6 linked regions of the Tribolium castaneum genome follow. The protein of the gene in region 5 interacts with the protein of the main gene of each other region in a biochemical or structural test. Links are inferred from orthologs where the notes say so. Each region holds a gene or a part of one and is shown on either strand. Other genes may lie near its edges.

Region 1 (3,004 bases), on a different chromosome or scaffold from region 5:
TGGAGAAAAAAATGGTTAAATACAAAAATTTGAATGTGCTATAGGAGATGTAAGTGAGTAGTAAGTTTTTAATTTATTTGAAGGTTAAATAATCTAGGAAAAAAACTGTTATTCTTTTATGCAAACTCATCGTGATTTACATTTACAATATGCTCCCAAATATTTTTTTACACCTCATAACAGCATGGAGAAAAATATCTACTTTGACTAAGTCTCATTTAATTCGTAATAATTGTTGTGATGGATCATCAAAAATTAAATGTAATGACTGGTGCTTTTTAAAAGGAACTGATGTGATATAATATTATTTGCAGATAATATGCAAGAATAATTGCACAATAATTTTTATTTAACACAATTTTTTTCCTAAAATTAGATATAGGATCAAACAAACAATATTAATAAACGAAAAATACAAGCTTTTTAAATTAATGAATTATTGATTGATAACTAGAAAAGCCATTTCTCTGAAGTCGTCTGTAAAATGGTTACATTACAGACCATATTTATTTGGGTTCAAAATAGTCTCTAGAGTGTCGTACTTTTCAAAGCTCATAAAATGTGATAACTGATGACGTGATGAGTGATGAGACTTTGTGTGAAATGACTGCATTTCCAATTTTTTTTAAGAAACTTGGAAAATTATCAATTCAGAAAAGCACTAAATTTGTTTTTTACACTCAGATGAGTCAGATGGTTATCTCCTCTGCTATCTATCACTTTAGACAACAAACCCCATATTCATGAAAACTCAATTTTAATTTAAATATTACAATATTTTAGGCAAAATGCTAAAATATTTTTTAATTAATAATTTCGTAAAAAAATTAAAATTGCTCAAACCGTCGCGTCGTCTGCGTTGATAGTTGAATGACAATTAACGAAGACGACGCGACGGCTCAAACCCGTGGCCCAAACTTTGCAAAAGTTGCTCTGCGCGTCAAAATGTAGTACCGTATAAAATTTCAATAACGATGCTTTAAAATATTAGGGTTGGATTTATATTAACAAATAAATTAGAAATGTGTACACTTACCTTTGAGTAACTGCAAACATTCGTTTCAATGTTCATCTGTGGTCTGGTGGTCAACAAACTAATACACAAACTAAAAACACAATAACGAACAGTTCTAAAACGCTCCTAAACCGAAATAATTCGTTTCACAGAATAATTTTACGAATTTCAACAACTCAAGACGCGAAAAATCCGCAGAGGATGACAAACGCACCAGTAGTACCAATGTAATAACAACGGCACGAAATAAATTAATTTAAATAGCTTTGAACATAGTCTTCTGATGGTCTGCTTTATTGATTTGGATCTTTTGATTAAGTGCTTTGCAGAAAAATTCTTAGCATTAGCAATAAATGAATTTTTTAAATTTTTTCATTAAGAATTCGTTCCGATGGTAAAGTAAATTCCTGCATGTCCCATTGACAGTTTTGACATTGACAGATGTGTGAAAAATTCTCTTGCAAAAAGCAATCGAATAAACTCGACTTTCCCATGTTTTTGTAAAGTGTGCTCGCAGTAAATTACATTGCTCTGACCCCTCACCACCCCTGCGCCAGCCAAATATGATAAAACTATTCTCGCTGAAGCAACAGAAAAAAGATGGAGAAGCCTCACCGCGACCAGGAAATCAAAAGAAAGCCTCTGCAGCCCAGTTGAGGATTACGAAAGGTTGGTTGTGAGTCATTGCGCCCCCATTTTGACCCTCCCTTTGCAGATATCAACGAGCTGAACCTGCCCAAGACCTGCACGACGGAGTTTCCCGATCCGGACGACTTGCTGTCTTTCAAACTGGTGATTTGTCCGGATGAGGTTAGTTGTGGATTAGTGTGTGGGGTTGTGGTTAATTGGGGGGACGTTTAGGGTTTCTACAAGACAGGGAGGTTCGTATTCAGTTTCAAAGTGGGCCCCAATTACCCGCATGAGCCCCCCAAAGTCAAATGCGAGACACAGGTCTACCACCCCAACATCGACCAACAGGGCAACGTGTGCTTGAACATTTTAAGGGAGGATTGGAAGCCCGTACTGACTATCAACAGTATCGTCTATGGACTGCAGTATTTGTTCCTTGAACCCAATCCAGAGGATCCTTTGAACAAGGAAGCGGCTGAAGTGCTCACGACCAACAGGCGGCTGTTTGAGCAGAACGTCCAGAAGGCGATGCGTGGAGGGTATGTTGGCAGTACTTATTTCGACCGCTGTCTCAAGTGATTCTTATGTGTAAAGAACTTATTTATAAGTTTACTGTTTTATGCTCGTTGACGAGGACACTCGAGTGATTCTTGCATACCTAATTACTAATTTCGTTTATTAAAGCTACCACTATGTTGTTTTATTTGGCTTTTTCATCTCAATCGTTCTATTGTGATCATCATATCTCACTCCAGCGTAAAGCACCACAAAGCGGTGTGTTGTAATTTCTCCTCAGTGAAATGTAACTGATTTAATTAAGAAAATAGATAATTTTTCATAATAAAAATCTACAAAAATTCGAAGCAATTCTTTATTAAAATGCAATAACTTAACACCTTTCAGTATATTATAGAAATAATGTAATTTACTACATTGTCTTTCCCTAAAGAAGAAAACAAATGAGACAAAAGAGACACAGTCGAAAAATAATTACAATTACACGGAAAATAAACTTCCATTTAAATCTATATTAGGTAAATTTAAATCGTTTACATCCGTTTTTTTTTTGTTTAATAAAAAGGCACTTAATAAAAATTAAAAAAGATTAAATTACCAACTGTACATCATTTCACTGGTCTTAACAGTCAATTTTACATTCAGTCACAAAAATTTTACACACCACGTCACATATATTCATGACGGTTTTGGAGCGCCAAACTTAAAAGTTGTGGGTACTTCATGTTGTGTAAACATAAAACCTGGACAAACAAAATTAATTTGTTATTCCCCCAACACTATCATATAATTTTACCTCCCGATTGTTCAATTCTTTTACTTTCTTTGGCTGCTTTCCTCTGA
Region 2 (4,054 bases), on a different chromosome or scaffold from region 5:
TTGCTTTCCTGTAGATAACGCTAATTCTTTTCCATACCTTACCTGCCTCAGCACCATTAACAGTGCCATAATTTTAGGCTGTCCGGAAAATTTATTTTTACACAAGGGTCGATGTATCAAAAGTTGTCCTGACGGCTTTTACCATTTGACGCTTAGGCGCGAGAGGCCTTCGGAGGCCGAAGATTTATCTCCGGAAAATAACACCAATCGGTGCTTACCATGCCATTACACTTGTAAGAAGTGCACAGGCCCGGTGGACTACCAGTGTTCCGAGTGTTTCCCAGATGCCCAACTGGTGCCGGTTTCCAGCACCGAAACTTTTTGTTACTCCGCATCTGTGGCCTCTTCAATAGTAGCAGATAAATGGTATATAAGGGTATTTGTTATGTTACTTATAGTTAGCGTTTTATTAGTATTGCATTTATTGTGGCAAATTTTTAAATCAAGGAAACGGCCCCGCGGAGGGTACTTGCGTTTTAATCTGATAAACAATAGTGATGAAAAAGATGTAAAAATGGCTGTTTATAGTGATAGCGAATAATATTTTAAACTTTGATGTGACTTTACTCCTACTGTAAATAGAAGAATTGTTATTTTTTGAGTATTAAAGCCAATAAAGTATTATAAAGCTTTCGTAACTTTTATTTTCCCCTCAGTTCATCCTAAATGGAATTACAAAAAGTAAAAAACTTAGTTTTGTAAATAATTGATTATGCGATAAGTTCAGACTACGACACCCCGGGGAGTATGCAACCAATAAAACACGAATTTTTATTAAAAAGGCAAACGGTAAATTTATTTGGCATTTCTGCGTTTATTTAATAAAAAAATAGTTATATGTTGTGTTAACAATGACACAAAGACAGAAACGTTTTTGTTTTAATTAGTTTTAATCTGTTTTACATCTCTACAGTTCGACTACACTGAGTGACACGTGTCTTTTTAATGATAGAAATTCTTGCCAATGTTTTTACGTAAAACTAATTGAAACACTAAATCATAAATAATTCCTGTAATTTTTGCAATCCAATGACACTAACCACTGTAAAAATTTGTATAAATTTTATTTATTTATTTTCAAGCATTAAAAAAAACGTGTGACCTAGCATAGGTCCTCTTTATAATTCTAAATAATTATTATGAGGAAATTTTGCTACCTGACATTGCAATAAATATTTTTATAATTATTAAAGAGTAGTTTAGAAAGTACAGTGGTATTACTAAACGCAAATCCGAGAACGGCCGAGCAGTGCCGACGAGCCGATCATCCTGAGGGAACCATCGCGCAACCCCGTGTTAGCTGTCTTAAATCTCAATTCATCTAGTGCATTAGAGTGTGAAATTGAATAAAAACTGTTGTTTTGTCAAGGTAAGGCCCTAACAAACCTTCTTTTAGTATAGTTCCATCCTGAAACTTGACCAAGTTCATTAAAACTTGCAAAATTCATCCCCTTCCCCGGCGTCCCTATTGTAGTGTCGCAAATCGGGGTAAAAAGACCAAAAAAATTTATAAAACGACAACAACATAGTGTATTTGAGGCCTTTAGTTGAGTTTTTCATATTTTTTGAGTTTTCCGTTGTTCCAAATTCGAATTTCGACCCCTTAGCAACAACAACCGTTTTTCCAAGAACTTTTCCTTTGTTTCAAAATGGCGAGCTTTGGTGACGTGGCCAGAACTCTGAACTAGTTAGAACTATTGTGAGCTTTTGAGTAAAAACGACTGGTTTATTTAGGTAAGTTCTCAAAAAATCGTCAAATGGCGTAATATATTTTCGAAATTGTTTGCACTTCTCAAAATTTCCAAACCTAACCACTATCTCAAAATCGGGTAAAAACCCGAGTGGTTAGAAAATGAGAAAGCCACATTGTGCCATAAAATTTCTTCCAGATTGAGTATCCAAACAAAATTATTTTGCCTTTTTTGGAATTTCCACCCTTTTGGTTATTAATTTAAATCGCAATAAATGTTTGACATTGAATCAAATTGAAGGTCAAATGATGTTAATACAAAAACTTGACAGTCAAAGCCCATTTTGGGGTCAAATTTCTTAGCGTCCATTTCATAGCATCCAATTGCATTTGTTTAAATTCATGCAAATGATGAATAAAGTGTTGTTGTTACATATAACCAGTTTGATAATTAAAAATAAAACGAGATTTCGCCCAAACATTTAGTTGTTAAAGTCTCAAAGAAAACTAAAACATTTTTTAATGGCATTTGATTTGTTTTAATGACGAAAATTAATTGAACAGTTACAAAACTGCCACAAGTAATAAAAAAGTCGGTTGGTTGATTCCATATTTTATCGAAAATTTCCATTTTGTGTCACAATTCGGTGATAATGCTTTCCAAATGGCAGGTTTTGGATTACGTGAGCCAACCTGAGCTTGGGATCCCCCGCACAGAGGTGAAGAAATCCGACTGTAAAGGTAAGCCACGAAATTTTTTGACACTACTAACTTCGCAACAAATCAAGACTTTTGTCGATTTCGGTAGATTTCTAAAGTGGCAACAAATGACGAACTTACACACGATATGATTTAGCTTTATTTCCTTTTAGCAAAACGATAAATTTTGGATTTAAACGGTGTGTGCTTGATCATACAAAATGGCCGAAGAACAACAACAGGGTGATGAAAGTAACCCTTACGAGCAAGGTGATCATGCTTTTGAGCTAGATGATCTTGAACGTGCTTTGGTAACATGCGAGTAAGTATTCACGGGTTTGAATTTGGCGCTAGATTCTATGAATGCGCACGCGTAGTACGGTCCCACCTAATTGTATTTTTATGTCTTTCCGGTACACACGAAGTGACGATAATAGGTGTTTTCGGCTTATTCAAAATCTTGTGTGTTTAGTTTATTCCAAAATTCCACAATTTTGAAATATTGGAAGGTTCCCAACCGCACGCCTATGGCGCCGCTTTGGAGTGTAGTGGGGATTTAATTTGTTATTAAAATATCGGAATTTACTATATGATTTGAAAAATATCAATTACTGTACAAAATAACGCGTAAATGGGTGCAAATTTTTGTCAAATCACTTTAGCCGGTATTACAATAAATCGCAGTTGGTACTCCGGTGTCTGAGGTTGTCATTATTATTGTGGTGGATTGATATAAGCTAGTGAATAATAAAAATTTCCAAATTTTCATTATTAGTGATATTATAAGTGTAATTATTGTGATTTACTTACTTTGTTAGTGATAGCTGTATTTCATGTCTAATTTGTACATGCAGAACGACACACATAGTAAATTATTTACAATTTTCGTACTCTAACCTAAAAGAACTAGATGAAATGCTCATATAAATTCAGTCTTACAATAAAAAACTGTTTTATTTAACATCAATTTGCTTAAAGACTTCGCAGTTACGTTGATCAAGTAGTAGAAGACGCTGCAGAGATGGCTAGTGTCTCTTACCAGATTGCCAATCTTCTTGAGAAGGTTAGTAAAATCGTATTACACAGTATTCGGTCAGCAATTCGAGTAAAAAATCATTTCAGATGCAATCATCTGACAAAGATTTTCGATTTATGGCCACAAACGATTTAATGGCCGAACTGCAGAAAGATAGTATCAAATTAGATGATGATTCGGAACGAAAGGTTGTAAGAATGTTGTTGAAACTACTTGAAGATAAAAACGGTGAAGTACAAAACTTGGCTGTCAAATGGTAGGTCAGTCATATCACACTTCACTTGTCTCACTCGTAATTTCTAGTCTGGGGCCTTTAGTTAACAAAGTTAAGGAATTCCAAGTGGAGACCATTGTTGAGGCCTTGTGCACCAACATGGTCTCCGACAAGGAGCAACTGCGGGATATTTCCAGCATTGGGCTCAAGACGGTTATCGCTGAACTGCCACAGGCACCTGGGGGCCTCTCCGGAAACATTTGCAAGCGGATCACCGGTCGTTTGACGACTGCTATCGAAAGGGTACGTTTGTCAACGTTGTAGCAAAAATCAACGAAACTTTGCAGCAAGACGACGTGTCCGTGCAACTGGAAGCTCTCGACATTGTCACGGATTTGTTATACCGCTTTGGCAA
Region 3 (4,179 bases), on a different chromosome or scaffold from region 5:
CGCCTTCTGTGCCCACAACAACGTAATTCGTGTTGTGTTGGTTGCATGCAACGCTGGTTAGAGAGCAAAACTCGTTGTTGTACAAAACTGAAAAATAAATATTTTTCGATAAAAATTTAGCTCAAAAACATCAGTATTAAAAGCTACATCCATTACAAAAAAAAACAATTTCCTATTGTAGCTAACTTTGGACACTTGTATACTTGAAAATAATGTTTACATCTTCACTTTGCTCCCGTGAAATATACATGATTTTTTCGCCTCACTGGACGAAAAAATAATTACCTGAGGCAGGGCACGGATTACGGTCGTCCCAAATACAGCACTTCCGGTCCATTGAAGCTGTGACAAAGACGTTTGGTTCCGACTTAAGTGTATCAACATAGTTTACAAGTTCCGTGTGATAATCGCTGGAAATAAAACTTAGATAAGGGAAAATTGTTGATAAAACTTACGGAAAGTGATTTAGTGGTTTACGGATAGTGCTATTAATGTCCCAAATGGTCACCGCTTTATTCGAGCAGGTGAGTATCCGTGTGCTGTTCTTCCAAACTGCGATTTTCGGAATGCGATCTATTTCCCTATAATAACCTGCCGATTGTATGGTTTGGTTTTCACGTGATATTGTGAGAATATTTAAAAGACCCGTATCTTCAGCTAACGCAAACTATTTTCATATTATTTGTTGTGTGTACACATTTAGCTGAAACTTACAGTACTGTCGTTTAAAAATTTCCCGTCTGAAACCGTGGACCCAATCAAGCTTCTGTTGTGTTTCAGAAGCAACAAATTCTCCTCATTTGAGAAAAATAGCAAAGTGCCTTCCCAAAGAGTCCCGTTTAAGTTCGAACACCCCAGAACTGACTCGTCTAAAAGACAATTAATCGCCAAAATTGAAAAAAACCCACCTTACCTTTTTCATTAAATTCTAGGAAAAGTAAGTGTTTGTAAACGACCGGTGTTGTCGAAAGTTCGACTTTCCGTTGCAGCGATTTATTCGGTGGATAAACCACCGTATTTAATTCGTTTTCAATCATTTTAACACAAATTCAAAAAAGAGTTCGAGGTTAAGTTTTGGTGCAAAAAAGCCACTAAAATCACATGTGCGCCGTTAAATTCCCCCAGCTTGTCACCTTGCTACTCCTGTAACTAAAGTCACGAAATCGTAGCGTAAATTCTCGAAATACAATGCAATGGTGTTGGGGAAAAACACAAAACGGATTTTCCTGCAATTGGTGAGTGTTTTCCAAAAGTTTGGGGTCCTGGATGTTTTTTTGGGCGAATGGTTTGTGGAGTCAGGGTGTTTGTGAAACGGGGCGGCGCCTTAGCCACGCGATTTTGCTGATATTTCTTATTCTTCATTTACACAAGTTCGTCCAGATATTTGTAATGGTGCCAATAAATCCTAGTATTTTGAGAATGGCCGTCAGTGTAGTTTTTTGAAAAGGTATTTTACCCAGCGAGATGCACAAGAAAACTCGCTTTAGTGTCTCGGAGTGATAGGAAGTAGCAAACAGTGGTCCTTGATGCATAGTTTTTGGAAGCATTTCGTTAATTTTCCTTCTTCTCTTGCAATTATCTGGTAGTTAGAGTAGTTTCGTTTCATGCCTTCGAATAATGATAGAAAATTACATCAGTAGGTATGTCAGATGCAATTATTCTAACCATTTTTCCCCCATTGCACTCATCTTGTAATTAAGTAGGATAACGTGTTTCACTCGCGGAGATAATTTTATCGCAAAACTTTACTTAAGACGTTTTTTGTTTTTTCTAGACTGTAGATAATGGCAGAATCATGTCCTTCAGGCAGAAGTAATTTCAACCCCTTATCTAGTATTAATCGAGATTCAGAACTTCCAAAACAAGACTGCACCAGCCCTAGCCCTACTGAAACCGTTTGTCTAGAGTCGTTGTGTACCACTGATAATGCACCAGGTACATCCCAGAATCACTTAGCTCCATTGAGTGAAAAACTAGATGAGATATTTAGAATTAGTCAATCGGGCGAGGAGACTGAAAAAACTAGCTTTCTCAATAAGCTAGGTCTGGAAGAATGTGATGAAGAAGACAGTTTTGAGAAGGAAGAAAACTGGGAGGATTGTACTGAAGGAGACCTCTCTGAAGAAAATCAAGAGCTAGAAGAGGTAACTCCATACAGTGTGTTAACTTTTTACTAAATTATTTTTACAGGACGAAGATAGCAGTGAAGTTTTTTCAGGTTCACCTCCAGGTCCTCATCAAACAACACCAAGGAGTTCGTACGCGAAGAGAAGTGGGTCGTACGCCACTGACAGATACTGGGTAAGCAGAAATTATGTTTGTTGTTTCAAGCGAATGTGCAATAATATTATTTTAAAAATAAACCCATTGACTGTTTCCATCACTGGATAATGCATTTTCTGCAAATGGTTAGCACAAGGCAAACAAAAAATTACAGGCAGAGATAATTTATATTAATTTTGCTTTTTTCTTATTCACTGATAACTAAAATATATGTCACATTTGTCTAACACGTGTAGTTTTCTTAATATATTCACTAAAAGTTTTAAAAATTTGTTTCTGGTGGCATTCATTGTTTCTGTGATCAACTATTGTTAAACCTTGTAATTATTTTAAAATATCTTCAAGTGAATGTAGATTAAGTCCAAACAACTTTTGTTTTGTTTGTGGTAAAATTGTCTATAAAATCTGGGAGACTTAAACGATCAAATGGTAAATATTTTCATCAAATCTTATGAAGAGAGTTATTAAGGTTTTTGGGATAAAAATATGTTATTCGTTTTCTACTAGTCCACATTGAGATAAACACCCTGATAGTACAAGAGAAGAAGCAATCTGTAACATTTTAGATGTTGCGAAAATTGTCAAATACTGATACTTTATAATGAGTATTTAAACTTAATTTGTTTTCGACTTCAGCATCAGATTTAGTGGTAATTATTCTACTGACATTGGTAAAAATCGTGGTAAACTAGTGTAATTATCTGCAATTTTTTGTAAACAAATCAGTGACACATTTTATTACGCCACTGCTCAGGTGGTACTTAATCTTTGCAATACCTGTTGTATTAAATAATTTCTCAATACTAGTTTTTGTTTAATTTTTTTTAACAAAATGTGACTAATAATAAATAATATTACTCTCATAAGTAAAGTTGTGACCATTTTTGGTTGTTGTTTTGACAATTTAAAAAGAAAATAATTAAAAAATACGAGTTGGTCTTGACTATTTGGTCGAAAATGTAATTTAAAGGAATTTGGTTTTAATGAACGCTTACCTTATCTATGTATAATACGAGTTTAAAAACAATCGTCACAGTTTTAATTATGTATTTAATCTTTATATAACTTTTAGATAAAATAACAAAACGAATAATTAAGGGGCATTGGGGAAAAATCGATAAGTAATACGCGAATAAGTCACGTTTACGTAGTAGTGCATTAAAGTTATTGCTCGTTTTTTAAACATTCCCATGGTCAATGAAGGTCTTTAACCTGTTTGGGACTTTGCTGTTTTTAACTATTTAGTTTACTTGTTGTTTTTGTATTGGTAAACACGAGTTGGGCGATAACGTAAATTAAAGATAGACATAAAAGGTAATAATTTTGATCCTTTTTGAAATTATCGTTGTATAATACAAACTAACAATTTTCATAGTTATTTATTATGCCTGTAGATTTTTTTTTAAATTGTTGAAAAAATGTTTGTTACCTTTGACAACCTCTAATTCTGTGTTTAGTAAACAATGTTACTCAAATATCTATGATAATAAAGCAATTTCCACATAATCACATGCATTAGAATACAGTGTAGTAATAATTAACTGCATGTCATAAAAAACTTATCAGGTTAATTTTGCTTTTTAACGCTAGTTTTTCCGGTTTAAGATGTTACATTATTTTCACCTTAATGGTGTTTATGTATTAATCGCAAATGTAAAGAGCTTAACAAAAATAAAACAGTCGTACTTCTTTTTTTTTAATGATGAAACTTGTAAGTGTTGAGTCGATAACATAATACGTTGATCGACATATGATTTTAGCCTAATCTTCTCTCTGATATTTTTTGAAACGAATATTTTGTGCTGTTTTGTTAGCAGTTGTAATGTGTTTTGTTCGGTTTTTTTAGAGAAAACGGAAGTTGGACGTGCAGAATGGGTTTCCGTGCAAGAAGTTGCT
Region 4 (4,110 bases), about 8.6 Mb from region 5:
TTTTTTTTGTCTTTAAGTTTTTTATTTTTATGCCTAACGTCAAATTCGATCGGCTGCCAAGTCCGGTTTCTCCGAATATCAATGAAAGTGAAGTCTTTATTTTTAACACTGTATTTAGCTTAACGAATTACTCCAAAATATGTGCAGTCATATGAATAACTTATTTTTTTAAGAATTTGTTGCCTTGTTGGAAATATACCTCAAATCTTTTTTTAATTTCAATTTGTGTGTTGGCGATTTTTGGAGAATTCTCGTGAGCGTACATTCTCGCGGGCCTACAATCTCGTCTAAGCTCCAAATCCAAAGACAAACCAACCCCGTAAAGCCAAATGTTTTAAAATTTTGATAAGCATTTTTTTGAATTAATTCACATGGAGTACTAAAATAAAACACAAGAATTAAGCCATCAATCTTTATTCTCTATTCGTAATTTCAGGAAACTTGTAACAAAAAGTAAAAAAAATATTAAGCATAGAAATTCCAGAAAATTACTGTCCTCCGCGAAGACGTAAGACTAGATGAAGAGTGGATTCCTTTTGGATATTGTAGTCCGAAAGTGTGCGACCATCTTCCAACTGTTTTCCCGCAAAGATCAATCTTTGCTGGTCTGGGGGAATACCTTCCTTATCTTGAATTTTGGCCTTCACATTTTCAATCGTGTCCGATGGCTCAACTTCCAACGTAATTGTTTTCCCAGTCAACGTCTTCACGAAAATTTGCATACCTCCTCGCAGACGCAATACTAAATGTAGGGTTGATTCTTTTTGAATATTATAGTCCGACAGGGTGCGCCCATCTTCGAGTTGTTTGCCAGCAAAGATCAACCTCTGCTGATCTGGAGGAATGCCTTCTTTATCCTGGATTTTAGCTTTAACATTCTCAATTGTGTCTGAGGGTTCTACTTCCAAAGTGATCGTCTTTCCCGTCAAGGTCTTCACGAAAATTTGCATGCCACCTCGGAGACGCAACACCAAGTGGAGAGTGGATTCCTTCTGGATATTGTAATCGGAAAGAGTACGGCCGTCTTCTAGTTGTTTTCCAGCAAAGATCAATCTTTGTTGGTCTGGTGGGATACCCTCTTTGTCTTGAATCTTAGCCTTGACGTTCTCAATTGTATCAGAAGGTTCGACTTCCAGGGTGATGGTTTTGCCAGTCAGAGTTTTAACGAAAATTTGCATGCCACCTCGGAGCCGCAATACTAAGTGGAGTGTTGATTCTTTTTGAATGTTGTAGTCGGAGAGAGTTCGGCCATCTTCGAGCTGTTTGCCGGCGAAGATCAACCTCTGCTGATCTGGGGGAATCCCCTCTTTGTCCTGAATTTTCGCCTTAACGTTTTCGATAGTGTCCGATGGTTCTACTTCCAAAGTGATCGTCTTCCCAGTCAAAGTCTTTACGAAGATTTGCATGCCACCACGGAGACGCAACACCAAGTGGAGGGTCGACTCTTTCTGGATGTTGTAGTCGGAGAGTGTGCGACCATCCTCCAACTGTTTGCCGGCGAAAATCAATCTTTGCTGATCTGGGGGAATCCCCTCTTTGTCCTGAATTTTCGCCTTCACGTTTTCGATTGTGTCCGAAGGTTCGACTTCAAGAGTGATCGTTTTTCCAGTCAAAGTCTTCACGAAAATTTGCATGCCACCTCGGAGACGCAACACCAAGTGGAGGGTGGATTCTTTTTGGATATTGTAGTCGGAAAGAGTACGGCCGTCTTCAAGTTGTTTTCCAGCGAAGATCAATCTTTGTTGGTCTGGTGGGATACCTTCCTTGTCTTGGATCTTGGCCTTAACATTCTCAATGGTATCAGAAGGTTCGACCTCCAAGGTGATGGTCTTGCCAGTCAGGGTTTTGACGAAAATTTGCATGCCACCTCTCAAACGCAATACCAAGTGAAGGGTGGATTCCTTCTGGATGTTGTAATCTGAGAGGGTACGCCCATCTTCTAGTTGTTTCCCGGCAAAGATCAATCTTTGTTGGTCTGGTGGGATCCCTTCCTTATCCTGAATCTTAGCCTTGACGTTTTCAATCGTGTCGGAAGGTTCGACTTCCAAAGTAATGGTTTTCCCAGTCAAGGTCTTGACGAAGATCTGCATGCCTCCCCTCAGACGCAAAACCAAGTGAAGGGTGGATTCCTTCTGGATGTTGTAATCGGACAAGGTGCGTCCGTCTTCGAGTTGTTTACCAGCGAAAATCAAACGCTGTTGATCTGGAGGGATGCCCTCCTTGTCCTGGATCTTGGCTTTGACGTTCTCGATCGTATCAGAGGGCTCAACTTCCAGAGTGATGGTCTTGCCAGTGAGTGTCTTAACGAAGATTTGCATACCGCCCCTCAATCTCAAAACCAAGTGGAGCGTCGATTCCTTCTGGATGTTGTAGTCAGACAAAGTGCGTCCGTCTTCGAGTTGTTTGCCAGCGAAGATCAAACGTTGCTGGTCTGGGGGGATACCTTCCTTGTCCTGGATCTTAGCTTTGACGTTTTCGATGGTATCGGAGGGCTCGACCTCCAAGGTGATGGTTTTACCAGTCAAAGTCTTCACGAAGATCTGCATCTGCAACGACACAAAAAATTACTTTTGTGACAAAGCAAATTTCCAAGCCGCCATATTGGATTTCGTTGAACAAAGAATTACGCACTGAATAAACCGAAAAAACACATTACTCACTATGTGGTTTGGTTTTGAACAGATCGACAAATTTACAAAATTAATTTTGTTAAAATTTAAACAAAAAAACACGTCACTAGGGCGATGTTTTTTCAAACAAATGTTATTGCGTCATGCGAAAAATTTCACAAAATTGCGACTTTCTGCGCTTCTTGCAATCGAATAATTCATGATGAAATTAAAATACATACCTTTACGGCTAGGAAAATTCACAATTTTAATTAAATCGCTTTTGTATTTCACCACTTTTGCTCAGACAATATGGCGAATGCAGCTGTGGAACCGCTTTTATACGGACGGCTTCCCCCACTCCTTTTTAATCTCGAACCCAAAGTACACTTTCTAGAATTTTCGACTAATTATCCAAAAAACGTCCTCTTTAATCAAAAATTTATACATAAACTTTAGTTGCTATCAGTTTAATGCCAATTCGGTTAATCGTGGTCAAAACAATGTTTCAGGTATTAAGAAAATTGCTTTTAATTGAACAAGATTCTAGGGACTTTGGCCAGTAGTTGTTGGTGACATGTCAGCTGATTTTTATCTACGTCGTCAGCTTTATCGATCAGCTGTTTTCTTTGTTTTGGAATTACGCCCTTTTTTATTTTTCAAATTTTAATTTATTTTCCAATTTATGCTTTTCAAACGTTTCAAATAAACCACCCATTAATACCTGCATGAAATGCCAAATTCGTCTGTTCAATTTTGAAAGGAATTTATTTGTTTACAAAGAATTATCCTTATCGTTGTTGTTCTAGAGTCTTGTTTATCATGTAAATACGGACGACAATAATAAATTATGTAAAAGGGTCATTTGGGACAAAGAAAAGTACAGTAATTCATTACAACTTATTTATTCTTCATATTGTAATAGATAAGGCACATTTGTGTCTATAAAATGGAAACAAATATCACATAAAGAGGCAATTATTGTGGCAAACAAACCCCTAAAATATGAAAATTAATTACAAAAATAATGGGCCATTTTACACTACACAGCGTCCATAAAATTAAAACTACAAGAACATGCTACCGAAATTACAGCAACAACAAAAATATTGCATCAGATTGATTATACGCCATAATTTCATACTTCCTATATCAACAATTCAAAATTATGATACTTTAACAAAGCGTAATTCTATTACTTCAACATAAATCTTTCGTCCGCATTATAAAACTAAGCAGTCAACAAATACATTTCATGTTACCTAAAATATACAATTCGGCTTTAACAGTTGCTAAACGTAACGTAGTCCAACTACAAAAATACAGGATAAGACGTGATAAACTTTATAGTTCCAAAACGGTAATAACCGCTTTTGGTAAACATGTTGACATTGGTGATCACCTAAAATTATTTACACGATTCGTTGTATTCTTCGCCCTATTATAGCTAAATTCGTTTAATAAAGCTGCCCACATGATTTCGAAAATAGACAAAATATAA
Region 5 (2,970 bases):
GTTGCGAGTTGAACGACCACGTATTTGAATATTTCATATTTTTATAATGGTATCAATTACGCAACGTTATCGATTCGCCACAGATAAAAAAAAATCTCGTTTCCAACAGTGTTTTAACGTTAATTATCTTGAATGTTGTTTGGTCACGAGCTATGGCAATGGCGCCACATTTACTTCCGCTTTATTACAAAATTTCGGTGCAAGAAAGTAAATACGTTTTTCGGTGAAAATTCAGGTCAGCGATTATTTCCAGCGAAAGTTCAAAGGGTCGACGGATAAGAAGTGCACTTGGCAATAACAAAATCGGGGAAAAATACCGAAAATTGCAGAATTGTTGTTTTTCCTTGAGTGACGTTTCGTGCTGTAATTACCGCAGTTGATGCAAGACTAATTTTCGGTTGAGGAAATTTTCCGGTGACGCTTAATTTATCGATCGAGGGAATATCTGTTTTTGATTAAAAAAAAAAAAACGAAATGCCAGTGTTAAAATATTAAGTGGAAGCGTGGAGAAAGTGTGACTGAATAATGCACGAAGGGATAACGAAAATTACAATTTTAAATTGGTCAAAGGATGAAGTTCACATTTTATCATCGTTATCTGTTGGAACGACTCGTAAATTAGTTGAGACGGTTCAGGTCGTGTTAATCGAGCGCGGAATAAGATTGTGAAACAAGAAATTGAATGAATCATGATTTTGACGCAATAATCGCCAGCAAATCTTGACAGTAATAAAAGCCTAGTCGTGAATTGTTTTGCTTTTTATGAACGAACAAGTTGGAAAAAATCTATGATGAAATTTACTAAAATCTAAAAAAAATATTCGTTGTTGTGGTTTAAATAAAATAAACTGAGCGATTTGAGACAAAATAATTTCTTTGGAATTTTTTTTTTGTAAAGACTACAATGTTTTACGTTTACATGCAAATTCCAGTTAAACTCTGTCATTAACCTTGGTTAAAAGGTAATTATAACAATACGTGTTATTTTTAAACCCACCTTAATGGAATCTCAATTCGAATAAGACACCAGAGAAAGATAAAAAATTCGAGTGAATTATTCAGTAATCTTATCTGTTTTAACTGTTTGGAAAAAAAAAAACGTACTGGACAAATATGAATATAATTTTATTAATTTATGAATCCACGTTTGCGAACCAACTGCGTTTTGTTGTTTCGATGCGTATTGTTTGGTCCGCCGCACAAATAAAAACACAATTAACGCAATAAAGGCGGAAACAGACATGTAGCAAAACAAGTTATTATTGACGTGATTTGATTATTGCGTAGTAATTTCGAAACCGGAAGATTTACAAATCAATTTTTTCATTTTTTTTTCTGTTAGGACGGGATGAATCGGATGGGTGAAGGCGTTTTGAAATTTTATACGCGTCAATGGGAGGAGTATCAGTTCAGTAGCAAGGTTCTGAATGGTATTTGCTCGTATTTGAATCGACATTGGGTGAAGAGAGAATGCGAAGAGGGAAGGAAAGGAATCTACGAAATTTATCAGCTCGCACTGGTGACATGGCGAGATCATCTGTTCAAACAATTAAACAAACAGGTTAGCCACAAATTCGCGCGGAAAACTATCAATATTTATGGGGAAGGGAAAAACGAGGGGTCATCTACGGCTCACTGTACTTTATTTAACTTCTTTTTTTTTTATTTAATTTAGAAGGTGAGAACAGTTTCAAAATTATCCAAAAAGAACCGAAAAGTCGGCTAATTCAGCAGAAGGCGATTTTGATGAAAGCTTTAATAAATTTCAAAAATATATTTATAATCTCGGAGAGTATGAGTAGCTGAAGATCTGGAGCCTTTAGGAAGATTTGACATTTTGAATTTGAAAGATTACACTCCACATGAAGGTCAAAAAAACATTTAAATTTAACCCACTATTGACTCACCCTGTATGTGAATTTTCTCATATTTTTTCTACAATTTCTTAAAATTAATAAATTAATATTAAGGGCTGGTTTGCCTGAATGTTTTTGGTTACAATTTAATGTGAGATCATCCAACTTTTTGGAGGATTTTTTGAGGCTAGCTACAATGTTTTCTACGTAATTTTGACATAAATCAAAATTTGAAATATTTTTTTCAGTCGCTTACGATTAATTAATTTGTTTTGATTGCGTATAAGGAACTTGTAAAAATTTTGAAAAGATTTACTTGCATAGAGAAAAACAGGCATTTAATGTGTGTTTATAATTTTTTGCGATACGGTAAAAATAAACTTATTTTAGCCCACTTACGCTAGCTAATCTGGTATGGAAAAATCCTCAGAAAAATGAAATAAAAAAAATACTTCTGAGGTAATAAATAGAATTATATTAATTTTAAAAGTTTTGTTTTTGCTTTCGTTTTAAATTAGTAAATATTGAGAGTTTGCAAGCCCCTATCCGGGGCTGTCGTTTTTATTTTTCTCCCCCGTTCAAACCAGGTAACAACTGCCGTTCTGAAACTGATCGAACGCGAGCGCAACGGCGAAACAATCAACACTCGTTTAGTCTCTGGCGTGATAAACTGTTACGTGGAATTGGGCCTAAACGAGGAGGAACCAGGGGCCAAAGGACCGAACCTATCGGTGTACAAAGAGAGTTTCGAAAACATGTTTCTGGAAGACACTGAACGCTTCTACCTAAAAGAGAGTAACAACTTCCTAGCACAAAATCCGGTCACTGAATACATGAAAAAGGCCGAACAACGTCTCCTCGAAGAACAGAAACGCGTCCAAGTCTATCTACACGAAACAACAAGCGGCCGTTTAGCCAAAACCTGCGAAAGAGTCCTCATTAAAAAGCACCTCGACATGTTCCATTCGGAGTTCCAGCAGTTGTTGGACGCCGACAAAGACGAGGATTTGGGTCGGATGTACTCGTTGGTAGCGCGGATTCCGGACGGTTTAGGGGAATTACGGACGCTTCTCGAGCAACATATCGCAGCTCAGGGGCTCTCAGCGATTGAAAA
Region 6 (2,421 bases), on a different chromosome or scaffold from region 5:
TTTAGACACCTAGAAAATGACTAAGGTGTTTGTTACTTTCTCGTCTCTTTCGTTTTAGCGTCCTAAATTTTTGGATACTGACTGTACAGAGTGTCCCAGCTAGGTGGAAAAGTTCAGTATTGACTTTTTTGGACGTAGCTTTTAATACTGATGACTTTAATTTAAACTTGCTTGGTTTTTGAAATATTTTTTGACGAAAACACACTTTTTTAGTAGAGTATAATACTTTTGTTAAATTTATAAAGGAAGCTGTGTTAAAATTTAATTCGCTGTTAAAATGGTCCAACCAAATTGCTTAAATTTGGTCACGTGATCAGTTAATCACTCATTTAATTGCGGATTAAATTAATCACGCTTCCCTAAGGGAGGTTTATAGAAAGCTTCATTAAATTTTAATTCGTTGTTAAAAGTTTAGATTAATCAGAAGAGACACTTAACTGGTTATGTTTTTACAGTTTTTTTTTGGTCACAACAAAATAAAGTTTTGCTTTGAAAAATTATTTTTGCTGATGTTTTCGTTTTGCGATTTCGATTAATCGGCGAGTTCGCTTTTATTCTTCCAATTTTCACGTCAATTTAGCAAGTTAATATGCTCAGAAGGATCAAAACAACTTTCTCTAAAAATGTGCGAATAATTGGAATCGTAATTATTGATTTTTTTACTGCAAAACATTTAGCGGAAACGTTAGTGTATCAAGTCGTTACACGACTTTGATTTTGTAAAGCAAAGTCGTAAATACACAAGTTGATTTCTAATAACGGTAATTTTATTAAATTGACACCTTCGAGTGTTTAGTTGTGTTGCATTCTTTAGCCGAGAAAAATGAGACACTTAACGAGGTGAGTCCGATAAATAAGCGCCGATTTTGTAAAAAACTGTACGGTTTTATGCTCTTTTACGAGCGGACGGAACGTCATGTAATCAAATTTTTTCGATTTTTCAATTTCAAAATGAAAACTCGCGGGCATTGCAAAAACGAAACACCAACATGAGACCACCAAATGCCCCAACTCGACTACGAGTTTAAACGATTTTTAAATTGATTTCGTCCAGTATTTTGCAATAAACAGGCACTTGTAGTAAAAAGACGATCAAATTACATAATAATTGGGCACATTTTAGTCATAATTTTGCCAAAGTCCAATTGGCAATTCGCCGGTTGATTGGCACGCCTGGGTAAACAACTAACATAACCCCACTTTAGTCAAAAATCTAAATTTTAAGTGTAATAAAATGAGCAAAGACCCGATTGTGCTAAGTTACGACGAGAGTCTTTTGCGCAAATCGGACGTGGAGCTCCTCCAAGGGCCCCACTGGCTCAACGACAACATAATTTCCTTCTACTTCGAGTACTTGAAGAACACGTTCAAACAAGCCCCCCATATTTTATTCGTGCCCCCTGAGGTGACCCAGTGTGTGAAAATAACCCCCAGTTCCCAAATCGGCATCTTCCTGGACCCGCTCGATGCGCGGCACAGACGTTTTATTTTTTTTGCCTTGAATGATAACGAGAGGCCCCAAGCGGCGGGGGGCACACATTGGAGTTTGCTGCTGTTTTCACGGTAGTGCGTGAGAGTTTGTTGAAAAAAAGGGTGATAATGTGTGTTTTAGGCCCGATAAGACCATTTATCACTATGATTCTTCCAGAGGGATGAATCGGGAGCAGGGTGAGAATTTCGGGCGTAAGATTTTTAGTTATTTCGGGATCGAGGGGCAGTTTAAGGAGGAGAGGGCGCTGCAGCAGAACAATGGGTATGACTGTGGGATTTACGTGATTTGTAATACGGAACATTTGGCCAGACATTTAATTTCGTATAATTGTGTTGAGGGGTATGGCTCTAACGAGGATTTGGTGAATAGTGTGGGGTCGATGCGCAACCAAATTTACAATGTCATCGAGCAATTAAAAAGCTAGTCGAACTAGAGTTTTATTTTTTCCGAGACAAATTTTTTATCCGAACGTACTGAAATTTTGCATACATACGTAATCTTGTGATAATGCAGTTCTATTTGTTTTAATTTCAAAACTCGTTATGAATTTTTAGTAAAATTAAGAAAAAATGTGCTGAATGAATCAAAAACTGTGATTAGACTCTTAAAACAGGCAAAAAGTGTGCCTTTGTCGTCATAATTCAGCGATTTTTCGTGTTATTTTTGGCAAGATTTGGTGAATCTATGTATGGGGACCAAAAAAAGCCAGTGAAACAGGAGAGAGATTTTATTATAAAATTCAACATTGAGTTATAAAAATAATCTCATTGTAAATAGTACAAATGATTAAAATAGAACGTGATACAGACACATCAACCGTGTAAACATTTATAAAATATAGGTAGTTCTATAAAAGGGTTGGTACTTTGAGCTTGGCTCTCTCAGTCCGAATACTGTGCTATCACTAAGGCATTTAAGCGTCCACTTCA

The links.
Region 1: of the proteins of Cul1 (region 5) and UbcE2M, one has a biochemical effect on the other in vitro, tested with the Homo sapiens proteins (7 studies listed by BioGRID). The link is inferred for Tribolium castaneum from reciprocal best matches to the Homo sapiens genes CUL1 and UBE2M.
Region 2: the proteins of Cul1 (region 5) and Cand1 form a complex in vitro, tested with the Homo sapiens proteins (6 studies listed by BioGRID and IntAct). The link is inferred for Tribolium castaneum from reciprocal best matches to the Homo sapiens genes CUL1 and CAND1.
Region 3: the proteins of Cul1 (region 5) and ago form a complex in vitro, tested with the Homo sapiens proteins (3 studies listed by BioGRID). The link is inferred for Tribolium castaneum from reciprocal best matches to the Homo sapiens genes CUL1 and FBXW7.
Region 4: the proteins of Cul1 (region 5) and Ubi-p63E form a complex in vitro, tested with the Homo sapiens proteins (2 studies listed by BioGRID, with this or other methods). The link is inferred for Tribolium castaneum from reciprocal best matches to the Homo sapiens genes CUL1 and UBC.
Region 6: of the proteins of Cul1 (region 5) and Den1, one has a biochemical effect on the other in vitro, tested with the Homo sapiens proteins (2 studies listed by BioGRID). The link is inferred for Tribolium castaneum from reciprocal best matches to the Homo sapiens genes CUL1 and SENP8.

What each region holds. Positions count from the first base shown.
Region 1 is NC_087394.1:37,270,882-37,273,885, reverse strand, and holds UbcE2M (NEDD8-conjugating enzyme Ubc12), read left to right. Parts: upstream 1-1,406; 5' UTR 1,407-1,578; coding exon 1,579-1,684; intron 1,685-1,730; coding exon 1,731-1,825; intron 1,826-1,876; coding exon 1,877-2,224; 3' UTR 2,225-2,504; downstream 2,505-3,004. Other genes in the region: msk (importin-7), read right to left, coding at 2,840-2,904, 2,958-3,004.
Region 2 is NC_087403.1:5,733,007-5,737,060, reverse strand, and holds the start of Cand1 (cullin-associated NEDD8-dissociated protein 1), read left to right. Parts: upstream 1-1,254; 5' UTR 1,255-1,369; intron 1,370-2,361; 5' UTR 2,362-2,431; intron 2,432-2,562; 5' UTR 2,563-2,610; coding exon 2,611-2,711; intron 2,712-3,367; coding exon 3,368-3,452; intron 3,453-3,511; coding exon 3,512-3,681; intron 3,682-3,728; coding exon 3,729-3,942; intron 3,943-3,986; coding exon 3,987-4,054. UniProt on the Homo sapiens protein: Key assembly factor of SCF (SKP1-CUL1-F-box protein) E3 ubiquitin ligase complexes that promotes the exchange of the substrate-recognition F-box subunit in SCF complexes, thereby playing a key role in the cellular repertoire of SCF complexes.
Region 3 is NC_087394.1:36,180,099-36,184,277, reverse strand, and holds the start of ago (archipelago), read left to right. Parts: upstream 1-1,379; 5' UTR 1,380-1,640; intron 1,641-1,774; 5' UTR 1,775-1,784; coding exon 1,785-2,144; intron 2,145-2,190; coding exon 2,191-2,301; intron 2,302-4,129; coding exon 4,130-4,179. Other genes in the region: uncharacterized protein LOC655874, read right to left, coding at 1-87, 286-410, 456-667, 715-869, 914-1,037. UniProt on the Homo sapiens protein: Substrate recognition component of a SCF (SKP1-CUL1-F-box protein) E3 ubiquitin-protein ligase complex which mediates the ubiquitination and subsequent proteasomal degradation of target proteins.
Region 4 is NC_087396.1:13,942,997-13,947,106, reverse strand, and holds Ubi-p63E (polyubiquitin), read right to left. Parts: upstream 2,801-4,110; 5' UTR 2,661-2,800; intron 2,547-2,660; coding exon 489-2,546; 3' UTR 399-488; downstream 1-398.
Region 5 is NC_087396.1:22,572,739-22,575,708, reverse strand, and holds part of Cul1 (cullin-1), read left to right. Parts: intron 1-1,342; coding exon 1,343-1,561; intron 1,562-2,443; coding exon 2,444-2,970. UniProt on the Homo sapiens protein: Core component of multiple cullin-RING-based SCF (SKP1-CUL1-F-box protein) E3 ubiquitin-protein ligase complexes, which mediate the ubiquitination of proteins involved in cell cycle progression, signal transduction and transcription.
Region 6 is NC_087399.1:1,312,927-1,315,347, forward strand, and holds Den1 (sentrin-specific protease 8), read left to right. Parts: upstream 1-1,130; 5' UTR 1,131-1,234; coding exon 1,235-1,563; intron 1,564-1,612; coding exon 1,613-1,916; 3' UTR 1,917-1,921; downstream 1,922-2,421. Other genes in the region: fatty-acid amide hydrolase 2, read right to left, coding at 2,406-2,421. UniProt on the Homo sapiens protein: Protease that catalyzes two essential functions in the NEDD8 pathway: processing of full-length NEDD8 to its mature form and deconjugation of NEDD8 from targeted proteins such as cullins or p53.